Cricetulus griseus: one gene and its partners. The protein of the gene in region 2 interacts with the protein of the main gene of each other region in a pairwise test. Links are inferred from orthologs where the notes say so. Each region holds a gene or a part of one and is shown on either strand. Other genes may lie near its edges.

Region 1 (3,654 bases), on a different chromosome or scaffold from region 2:
GAAAGCCTCACCCTCCCTGAGGAATGGATGTGGAATGGGGGGATTCGATGCGAGGATGGGAGGGAGAGGGAACTGGGATTGATATGTAAAATAAAATTGTTTCTAATTTAAATAAAAATTTATATATAAAAGAAAACCCTCATTATCTCAAAAGTGAATAGAAAACATCAGAAACTGTCAAAAAAAAGTTACAGCATACTCACAAATGTTCCACTGCAAACATTTGCTTTCAGACACTTCAGAGACAGAGCTAATTTAAAGACAGAAGAACCCCCTCCCCCCACACACACAGGATTTCTGTGTGTAGCCCTAGCTTTGTAGACCTGGAACTTGCTTTGTAGACCAGGCTGTCCTCAAACAGAGATCTGCCTGCCTCTGCCTCCTAAGTGCAGGAATTAGAGGTGTGTGCTACTACATGTGGCCAAGACAGAAGACCTTAAAAGCCATTGATGGCATTTCAAACAAGGGAAAAAAGATATTTGTAAATGAATGAAGAGTTAGGTGAATCTCTGTGAGTTTAAAACCAACTTAGTCTATATAATTAGTCCCAGGCCAGCCAGGGCTTACATGGGAAGACCAAGTTTCAACACACACACACACACATACATACATACATACATACATACATACATACATACACACACACACACACACACACACAAAACACTGAAATATTTGGGGTTGTGAAAACTATCATGAACCAGAAATTTCTTCAAATACATGTCAGAAGTATAGCTTAGTGGTAGAAAGCAAAGGCCCTGGGTTCTAATCCCAGAACCACAAAACAAACAAACAAACAAACAAAAAATCAGGGAAGAAAGAGTCACTAGCCAGATTGTGGATTAGTGGAAAACAGTGACTTCACAGGAGATATCAATCAACCAAGGGATCAGAATCAATGATCAACAAAAAAAGCCATCCTTCTGCTCTATTTTTACTAAAAGCACAAAACCTCAAGTCTAAGGTAACATCTGAGAAAAACAAAGAAGGTGTTCTACAAACTAATAGGGCAATATTCTTTAGGCATCAAAGACACACAGTGAAGACAGGCTAAGGAACTAACTATTCTAGAATACTGGAGGCTCAGAAAATAGCGTTAACTACTGCTGTTTGGACTCTGGATCCCAGAACAGAAAACAGACATTAGTGGGACAACCACTTTGATATAACTGAGTCTCATACTCAGTATTATAGCAATACTAATCCCTGGTTTCATCACTTACCATGTATGCAAGATGTTATCATGTAAGGTTTCTGAAAATTGTATGTGGACACTACTCTAAGTTTTATATCCCTCCCTTTAAATTCTATAGTTATATGAAAATAAGTTAGTTCTTCCAACTCAAATATCACCTTATGACACTCTATTAACCCTCCTCCCATGAGAGCCATTTTCTAACAATATCAATAGACTCCTATGTTTGCTCTACTCACAATACACAAGAGTTCAAGAACTACTAAGTCAGTTCTACCATAAATGTACTAGGATCTCAGTGAATTATATTCTATATTTGGTGCAAAAGAAGGCCACTTATTTCTACTATATTTTACTTTATTATTTTACTTTTATTGTTCCTCTTTGCTGACTTAATGGTACAAAAGTCAAGTGTGCTGCATGCAGTAGCACGTACCTTAAATCTCAGCACTCAGGAGGCAGAGGCAAGCAGATCTTTGTGAATCTCAGGCCAGCCTGGTTGACTACCGAGTTCCAGGCTAGTCAGGGTGATATAGCAAGACCTTGTTCTCAAGAAACAAAAACAAAAGTCATGTGTATATGCAATGTTCACTTTTTTTCTCTGTATCATGTTCCTATTTCTCTGTATCATGTATATATGCACTAAAATTATAGAGCTTGTTAAACTGAACTTCTGAGCATTTTTTATCTAAAATGATGTTTTCTGTCTTAATGTCTCATCATAACAAAGCTAAATGAGATGAATTTGCGTGGCTATCTTCATCTGACCAATAGCTGCTGCTAACCTGTCTGTAGTACTGCTGGGGGCCATTAAGTGCTTGTCCACTTGGTTACCTTACCAGTCCCTGGCATCTACCTCTTCATAAGTAGAAATTTCCAATGATCATATCATATATTCCAAGTTGCATATGAACTTACTCATAAACTCCCAGTATTTTTTGTAGTCCGCTGGAAATTTTCGTAAATGCAAATGATAGAAATTCTCTTTATTTGGAGAGTTGAACCATTCCTGTGCCACCTACACAAAGCAAAAAAAAAAAAAAACAAAAAACAAAAAAAACAAACAAAAAAAAAACACCTAAGAAATAAAGAACATGTTGAAAGCTACTACACACAGCAAACTGAGCTACAGGGGAAGTAGAACAGAATCCCAAATGAAAGACTAAAAATCAGTTTGTGTGGTTTAATTAAATTGTTTAAAACTGACCTGTTCAATTCAGTCATTAGCCACATTTGGTTGTACTTGTTAACTGAACTTCTAAAGACTAAAAATACTATTCCTTGGGTGAAATAGCTTTTCATGTTCAGCAGTCACCTGCAGCCCTGATAATTTTCACTGTACAAGTATCAGCTGCTGCTAGATCTTGCTGGTAGCACCTACTCCACAATGAGACTATTTGTCCTACATTTTTCTCAATCTCTGGGAATTTGCACAAGCATTCTTCCTGTCAGTATCTATATGCCACACATACCTGTCTGCCAAAGCCTCAAGTCAAACTCAGAAGTGTATGAGATCTTTGGCAATCCTAAGCCCAAATTTACGAAAGAAACTGCTAGTATAAAAGGCTATTTTACACTTAAAAAAAAAAAAAAAAAAAACAGAATCACCTTCGGGACCTAACAGTCTTATTTTATAGTAAAATTTTTATTCAAGTAGCTAAATTTGCAACTGGTCTTCAATTCCTCAAATATAATTATTCATCAATGACTCCTGGTGCCAAACTGCTTCTGCACAAGGTTAGTGTGACAGCCCCACCCTCACACTATCTATCACTTTTGGCTAGAAACATGTAGCAGGGCCTTTCCTGCCATGTGCTGCTCCAGCCCAGAAATGAGGAAAGAGGCAAACTCAAGAGGCTCTTCCCCACTCCTGGAGAGTAAACATTACAACCTAACCAGGTTAAGGCTCAAATCAGTCATCCTTTCAATTTCCACTAGTAAGTCATATATTCTAAAATTTATCTATAGTCTTTCCATCTCCATAACTACTATCCAAACAAAGCCAACATCATTCTCTCCCCAAGTTGCTGGAACCAACCTGTAACTGGTCTACTGGATCTGTAAGCCTTCCTACCATTTGTTCTCTACTCAACAACCAAGGATGCTGTGTAAGGAATAAACTAGTGCGTATCCTTACTCCCTGGTCTAAATACTGACCAACACAAAGCCCTCCAATACCTTCTCACAGAAATAAGTACAAATTCAAACAGAAGTTTACGGGACTATGTGCTCATGAGCATTTCTCTAATCTTTATCTACAAAAGAGGCAAAGAAATAAAGCATACTTACTGTTTCAAAAGCATTCAATATAATCAAAGGGAGAAAAACATTAAAATACTCTGCACAATCTTGAAATCTGACGGGCACGGGTCTTGAGATAGATTGAGAGAGACTTGGTGGGGCGCCACATTTATCAAAGTTCAAAAACATTTGGTATTTCCATTTTAAGACCTCTTTAA
Region 2 (3,754 bases):
ACTCTTGCATATTGCTTTACTGTGTAGCTCAATTAAAAAGACTTGTTTTGGGCCAGGTGGTGGTGGCACTTGGGAGGCAGAAGCAGGCAAAGTGAATTCCAGGACAGGCTCCAAAGCTACAAAGAAATCTTGTCTTGAAAACAAAACAAAACAAAACAAAAGTTTGTCAGGTATTGTGATGCACATCTTTCACTCCAGCACTCAGAGGACAGAAGCAAGCAGACCTCTGTGAGTTCCAGGCCAGCCTGAACTACAGAATGAGTTCCAGGGCAGCCAAGGTTACATAGTAAGACCCTATCTCAAAAACAAAAGAAAATCCCAGCACTTGGGAGGCAGAGGCCAGCCTGGTCTACAGAGCAGAGTTCCAGAACAACCTCCAAAGCAATACAGAGAAACCCTGGGGGGGGGGGGGGGGAACAACACGGGACAAAAAAAAAAATAAACAAATCACACATGGACTAGCCAGGTATGGCATAACTCTAATCCTCCCTACTCTGCAACGATAAGTGAGGGAGGAGTATTTATTCCGAGTTCAAAGACACCTTGTGCTACAGAATGAAGTTCAAGAACAACCTAGGCAACATAGTGAGACTAAGTATAAGAGATTCGGATCTAGCTCAGTGGTATAGTGCTTGTCTGGCATGTACACATGTGAGCCCTAAGTTCAGTGCCCAGTAACAAGTACTACACCCTAGTGTGGCTTCACAGATCCCCTGAAAACAGCCTGTGTCCTAGGTTCTCTTTTCCTTTCTCCATAATCTTTTTTTTTTTTTAATAGTTTTTCAAGACAGGGTTTCTCTGTGTAGCTTTAGAGCCTTTCTCCATATTCTTAAATGATGTGAGTTCAAACTAGAGCAAAAATAATTTTAAAATTTCTAACTGTATGTTGCCCTTCATCAGGCTGACATGCCTTCTAGTTCCTTCTAAAATAAAAGACTGATGAAACTAAGCATTTACAGCTCATCTTTCCTCCCTTACTCGGAACTATCTGGAGAGATATTCATAAACGAATTTCTATCCAGATTAAACAGAATTAATCCAGATTATTTATAAACAAATCTACCCCACAATTAATCTACATTATGGATAGGCTACAAAAATAGAACCATATTATCCAGGTGGTGGGGAAGCATGCCTTTGATCCCAGCACTCAGGAAGCAAAGGCTGGGAATCTCTGAGTTTGAGGCCAGCCTGGTCTACAGAGCAGTTCCAGGTTAGCCAAGGCTACACAGAGAATCCTGTATCGAAAAACAATTAAATAAATAAATAAATAAATAAATAAGATTAAATTAAAAGAAAACAGTTCAACTACACTGTGGTGCTGAATGAAAAGTTTACTGAATAATTATCATTATAGACAAACGTCAAAAAAAATTTGAAAATTCAGTCCTCTAAGCAAACAAAAGGAAAAACAGATAAAAATCCTATGTATTAAAACTAGCCACAAACGTGGTAAACAAAAATGGGATGAAGGAAATTAAGGTGGCAGTATTCCTAATTTGAATGCCAATACCATGCAAATTCTTAACATTAATACGGAGACACAGCATTTTACTATTAATTGGCAGCTTTCTGTAAACATTCTGCAGCTGTAAATATTCAGTTTTTCTATTTTCCTCAAAAATATCACCTGGAAGAGGGTGATATGGAGGTGCATATAACCAAGATACGTCGTTTACGTGTATAAAATTGACTATGTTAAAAAAAAGTGCCATTTTTGAAAATGTAACAATCATAAGCAGGCTAATGCCCAGATGAAATAAATGGCTTGTTGGTGGTGGTACTCTAACCTAGTTTCGTTTGTTTCTCGGTTATTCTGAACTCTCCTACAACTAGAGAGTTGATGGACCAATCCCGAGTAAGAAATGGAAAGTACAGAAAAAGAGCCGACCGATCCGCACCCCCCAGATGGAAAAAAAAAAAAAAAAAAAAGACGCAGAAGGGAGCAGAGGCGGACAGGCCCTCCCGGCAAACACAACGGAAAGCAGCGTCTTCTGGGTCCCAGGAACCTCAGGCCAGGCTTCCTCTCCGCCCCCCACTCCGAGACCAAGAACCCAAAGTGGAGTGGAGCAGCTTTTCGGGGCTACCTACCCTCCCAGTCAGGGATTCCCTCCCGTTACATAACTAGGCCTGGGGCCCTGTTTCTGCCATCGGTCCTCTGAAGGGAAACGGTCGATTTCTCTTAGGTTGCTCTCGGGGACAGAGGAGCGGGCCTGGGCCCCCGGCGGACCCGCGAGAAACCTGGGAGCCGTCGAGAGAGCCGCGGCGCGGGGCAGCGGGAGGGGGGCGCGGGGAAGGCGGCGGAGGGCGGGTGTTCCCCGGAGCCCCGCGGTCCCGGGCGGCTGGGCCCGACTCGGCCGGGCGCTCCGCGTCCCTCGCGGCCCCCTCCCCAGCAGCAGCCCCCTCCCCCAGCTGCGTCCCCTCCCCCGCGCCGCGGTCCCCGGGCCCAGCCAGCGGCCGACAGCTCTGAGCCCCGATGCCCTGGCCCAGTACCTGGTCAGACATGGTGATGGTGGCTTCGCCCGGGGGTCTCCGCACCACAGCGGCCTCCGGCAGGCAGAACCTCACTCTGAGGTTTACAAATCTGTCTCTTCCCCACAGCACAACACCGCGGCTGCAGGGACTTCCGCTACGTATTGCGTCACTTCCGCTGCGCGCAAAGGAGACTTTGGGAAGACGGGAAAAGGAGGCGGGAAAACGCCTTGGGGAAAGGCCTTGGGGCGTCTGACCTGTAAAATTGCTTGCCCGGAGCAAGAGAACGACTGTGTGTTCTGCCGCTGGGAGACCCGGCCGGCTGCCTCAGCCCCCTAGGGAGACCAGGGCATCGCCACCAGGCTGAATGTTTGGGGTCAAACCGACATCCTAGACTCCTCCCTCTCGGACACCTTGCGCGCTTCTCCGAGCTAAACCAAGTTCTTTTGTCTGCTCCCAACCTTACTAACCGTCCCTAAATATAGGGAATCGCCGGTATAATATTTTTATTACCTTCTCTTGTTTGCTGCCAGCACACTCATGACCTTGATTTAGGACCACAACGAAAAGACGACCCCTTAGAACACATATTTTTTGTTTTTATTTTTGTTTTTTGAGCAACCCTGGCCGCTCTAGAACTATGTAGATCAGCCTGGCCTCGAACTCACATAGAGTCTCCTACCTCTGCCCCCAGCTCTAGGACAGTTTTAAGAGCTGTAGATGACTAAAATGTTGAAAGTTTTTAAGTTTGAAGTTATAGGCAGAAGGAGCTACCTCCAACCTATTAACTATTTGCCTTTCGTCACAGAAAGACCTAAAATTCTTTGACTACCACGACCTTCTTGCACAGGCATTAAGTGTGGATTACGGATATATAAGTAAAAAGAGTAAAATTGAAAAAATAATTGTTGTGTGTGTTTTTCCGATACAGAGTTTCTCTGTGTAGCTTTGGAGCCTGTCCTGGAACTCTGTAGACTATTCTAGACTCTGCTGCGTTAGAGGCATGTGCCACCACGCCCCCCAACCCCCGGCAAAAATGAAAATTCTAAATAAATCAATAACCTTTCACAGTATAAGACGTTAGTAAAAGAATCTTTTCGGACTGGAGAGATGGCTCAGAGGTTAAGAGCACTGACTGCTCTTCCAGAAGTCCTGAGTTCAATTCCCAGCAACCACATGGTGGCTCACCATCCCTTATGAGATCTGGTGCCCTCTTCTGGTGTGCAGATATACATGGAAGCAGAATGTTGTATACATAATAAATAAAATCTATTAAAAAAAA
Region 3 (3,409 bases), on a different chromosome or scaffold from region 2:
GTAGTACACAGTGTGATTAGTGGCTGAAGATTTATGTCCTGGGGTGATAACCAAGATAACCAGGCTGACCAATAATGAAGATCAAAGCCCTATGGACTTCTCCTTACCTGTAAAATAAGTATTATTATTAAAATAACTATTTATTTTAGTACAACTGGCATATTTAATAAATTTTATTTTAAAATAGAGTTGAAAAATGTTTGTAAACTTATAGTGAGTAGTTTTCAAAGGGTTTAATGGATATAAAATCAGTTTAAAAGTTTATCAGTGCATTTTTTCTTTATTGAAAATAGATTTTTTATATATCTAATATATTGATTATGTTTTCCCCTCCACCTATTACTCCTCCCAATTCCTCACTACCTCCTCTTACATTTGTATGCATACCCTTTCTTTCACTAGAAAACAAACACAGTTTTGAGTCCAGCCTGGTCTACAGACCAAGTTCCAGGACTACACAGAGAAACCCTGTCTTAAGAAAAACAACCAAAAAAAAAAAGGAAGAAAGATAGAAGAAAAAAATGGAAGGAAGAAAACAGGCATCTAAGGAATAATAATAAGATAAATCAAAAACCAACAAATCAGAGTAGGACCGAGAAACACGTGTAGACACAGATACACATTCACATACGCAGGAATCCCATAAAATCCCAAAGCTAGAAGCCATAATATACACAAAGGACTATAATGTAAAAATAAAATGGGATTCCCTGACTTGACATTTGAGACAAAGATCCTCCAAAGATGCCATTGAGTTTGTTTTGTGTTGGCCATCTACTCTGGGCATGCAGTGTACCCCTGGGAGTACTTTGTTTCTCCAGTGAGACTCCATTGAAGAAAACTAATTTTTCATTTGCAAGTGGCTAGCAATTAAGGATAGCTTCTGGGTTAGGGATAGGGGTGTATGTCTACTTCTCTCATCTCTAAGACTCCATCTGGTGCAGACCTGGCAAACCTTGTGCATGCCTGTTGTCTGGCTGTGGGTCTCTATATTTGTGCCCATCTGCTGCAGGAGGAAGCATCTCTGATGATGGCTGAACAAGGCATGGATCTATGAGTATAACAGAATGTTGTCAGTCATTTTTATTGCTATATCCCTTTAGCAAGACAGTAAAAAATACACATACTTTAAGACATTCAGTGTATATTGCATTGAACATTTTGCTATCACATAGTTTAATTATTTAAAAGGAATTCATCCACCGGATGATTTCCATGTTGTTCCAGAGTACTGATGTCATCAAGTCTTACAACATGAAGTTAGCAGCACTCTCCCTTTTATACTGTGTCTTGCCTGTGTTAATTTACTCACTACACAATAATGTCACAAGCTTCTCTTCATGTTTTACAGGCTTCTCCGGCTCATACAACTCCACAGACCCAAAATACAAGTGGCCGTCGAAGGAGAGCAGCTAATGAAGATCCTGATGAGAAAAGGAGAAAGTTTCTAGAACGAAACAGAGCAGCAGCTTCAAGATGCCGACAAAAAAGGAAAGTCTGGGTTCAGTCGTTAGAGAAGAAAGCAGAAGACTTGAGTTCACTAAATGGCCAGCTCCAGGTATGACGCATAAATGCACACTTAATTTGTGCTTATTAGTTAGGAGCATAGTTTCCATCCTTCAGACATTTTAGAACATGATGTATACTGCATGTATGTGGACTCTGTAGTAAACCATGGTCTCCTAAACCTTTGTGAATGATGACATGAAGAAATACCACGCTTTCAGTGCTGGCACAGTGAAGAAATTTTATGTCTGTTTATTTGTATGGTACACAAATACCCTATTTACCTTGCTTGAAGTTTAGTTCTCAAAAACTTCAAAAATATCACTGGTTTTTTTGTTGTTGATGTTGTTTTATTTTGGTTTTTGTTTGTTTTGTTTTTGGTTTGTTAACCATAAGTTGTTTCAGTGGCAGTTTTTACATTCTTTCTTTGAATTACAATTTTATTTTGTTTCTTCTTCTTCTTCTTCTTCTTCTTCTTCTTCTTCTTCTTCTTCTTCTTCTTCTTCTTCTTCTTTGTTTTTTTTTTTTTTTTTTTTTTTTTTTTTTTTTTTTTTTTAAGTGAATATAGTGATCATGAAAGGTGCCAGATTGACAGCTTTGGAAACTGAAGGATTCTAATTATCCACAGAACAGGTACAATTTGGCCAGTGGCAGAACATATGATTTCATACTGCACTGCCGATGTGCCTCAGATACATTTCTTAGGACCTCATGTGGTATAAAGATTTTAAGGCTTCTTCCCCATTCAAGTCTTTGGTAAGATTTCCAATAAAAGTATCAGGTAGCACCAAATGTGATTATTTCCATCATTTCTCCTTCCTTTCTTTCCTGTTTTTATTATTTTGCTTTTGATGTTGTGAATATTCTCCAGTAGTCTCTTTTGAACTACCAATTAACTGGAAATTAATGTTAATAAATTTGTAGTTTATTAATACTGGTCAACAGTACTAGAAATTGAAGTCAGGGCCTCAGCACTCTGCCACTAGTTGGTTCCTTCTTTATTATTTAGAAATTTTAGCTTAAGAGAGCTAAATTGCCCAAGCTTGCTTCAAATTGAAGACCTTCCTGCCTCAGCTTTCCAAGTAGCTAGTGTTGTGAGCATGTGATTTAGATCAATCATTTGAATTATCCATTCCCAGTTTTAAGTGAATCTTCCTATATAAACACAACTAATAGTAAGAGAGACGCTTGCTTGTTTCTTAAACCTATCTGCAAAGTGCCACAAATGTAATTATTTAAGTGTTTAGGAAACTGTTTTTACTATCCTGTACAGCATTTACCCAAACTAAGTTTTCTAACAAATTTTCTTATGTGAGACAGACATCCTTAAAAGCCTTCACTGCATTTTGCATATTGATATGGTTATTTTAGAACAAATAGATTGTTATTTACAAAACTTATTTTTAACCATCTAATTTTAATAACTTGAAAAACAGATTAATAGTGACTTACTAAACAACATAAACTCCAAATATATACTAGGATTTAGTATATATTATTGTCATCATGGCAAATGAATTTTACTCAAAAACTTCCACACTTTTTTAGAATAAAATTAATTTTGTTTTAAATAGTATGAAACAGGTTATACATACTTATTTATACATAGATCAAACTTGTTAGAATATTAATTACTGTTATATTTTTAGATACTCATGTTAACTAAGTGATTTAAATTATCTTTTTGTTCCTAATAAAAACATTTTTTTTTTACTTTTCTCTCTCCCCTTTCCTCCCTCTAAAGCCATAATATACCCCTCACTTTCATTCAAATTCATGGCCTCTTTTTTTTCAACTAATTGTTATTGCATATATGTATGTTTCTAAATATAACCTGTTGAGTCTATGTAATGCTACCTATATGTATGTTTTTAAGGGTGAGTCATTGATACTGGACAGACAA

The links. The genes of interacting proteins can lie anywhere in the genome.
Region 1: the proteins of Sumo1 (region 2) and Setx interact in a two-hybrid assay, tested with the Homo sapiens proteins (2 studies listed by BioGRID and IntAct). The link is inferred for Cricetulus griseus from reciprocal best matches to the Homo sapiens genes SUMO1 and SETX.
Region 3: the proteins of Sumo1 (region 2) and Atf2 interact in binary tests that used the Homo sapiens proteins (3 or more experiments, as listed by UniProt). The two-hybrid records come from large-scale screens. The link is inferred for Cricetulus griseus from reciprocal best matches to the Homo sapiens genes SUMO1 and ATF2.

What each region holds. Positions count from the first base shown.
Region 1 is NC_048599.1:140,816,416-140,820,069, reverse strand, and holds part of Setx (probable helicase senataxin), read right to left. Parts: coding exon 3,485-3,654; intron 2,214-3,484; coding exon 2,114-2,213; intron 1-2,113. UniProt on the Homo sapiens protein: Probable RNA/DNA helicase involved in diverse aspects of RNA metabolism and genomic integrity.
Region 2 is NC_048595.1:413,931,045-413,934,798, forward strand, and holds the start of Sumo1 (small ubiquitin-related modifier 1), read right to left. Parts: upstream 2,651-3,754; 5' UTR 2,506-2,650; coding exon 2,494-2,505; intron 1-2,493. UniProt on the Homo sapiens protein: Ubiquitin-like protein that can be covalently attached to proteins as a monomer or a lysine-linked polymer.
Region 3 is NC_048599.1:101,315,321-101,318,729, forward strand, and holds part of Atf2 (cyclic AMP-dependent transcription factor ATF-2), read left to right. Parts: intron 1-1,351; coding exon 1,352-1,558; intron 1,559-3,409. UniProt on the Homo sapiens protein: Transcriptional activator which regulates the transcription of various genes, including those involved in anti-apoptosis, cell growth, and DNA damage response.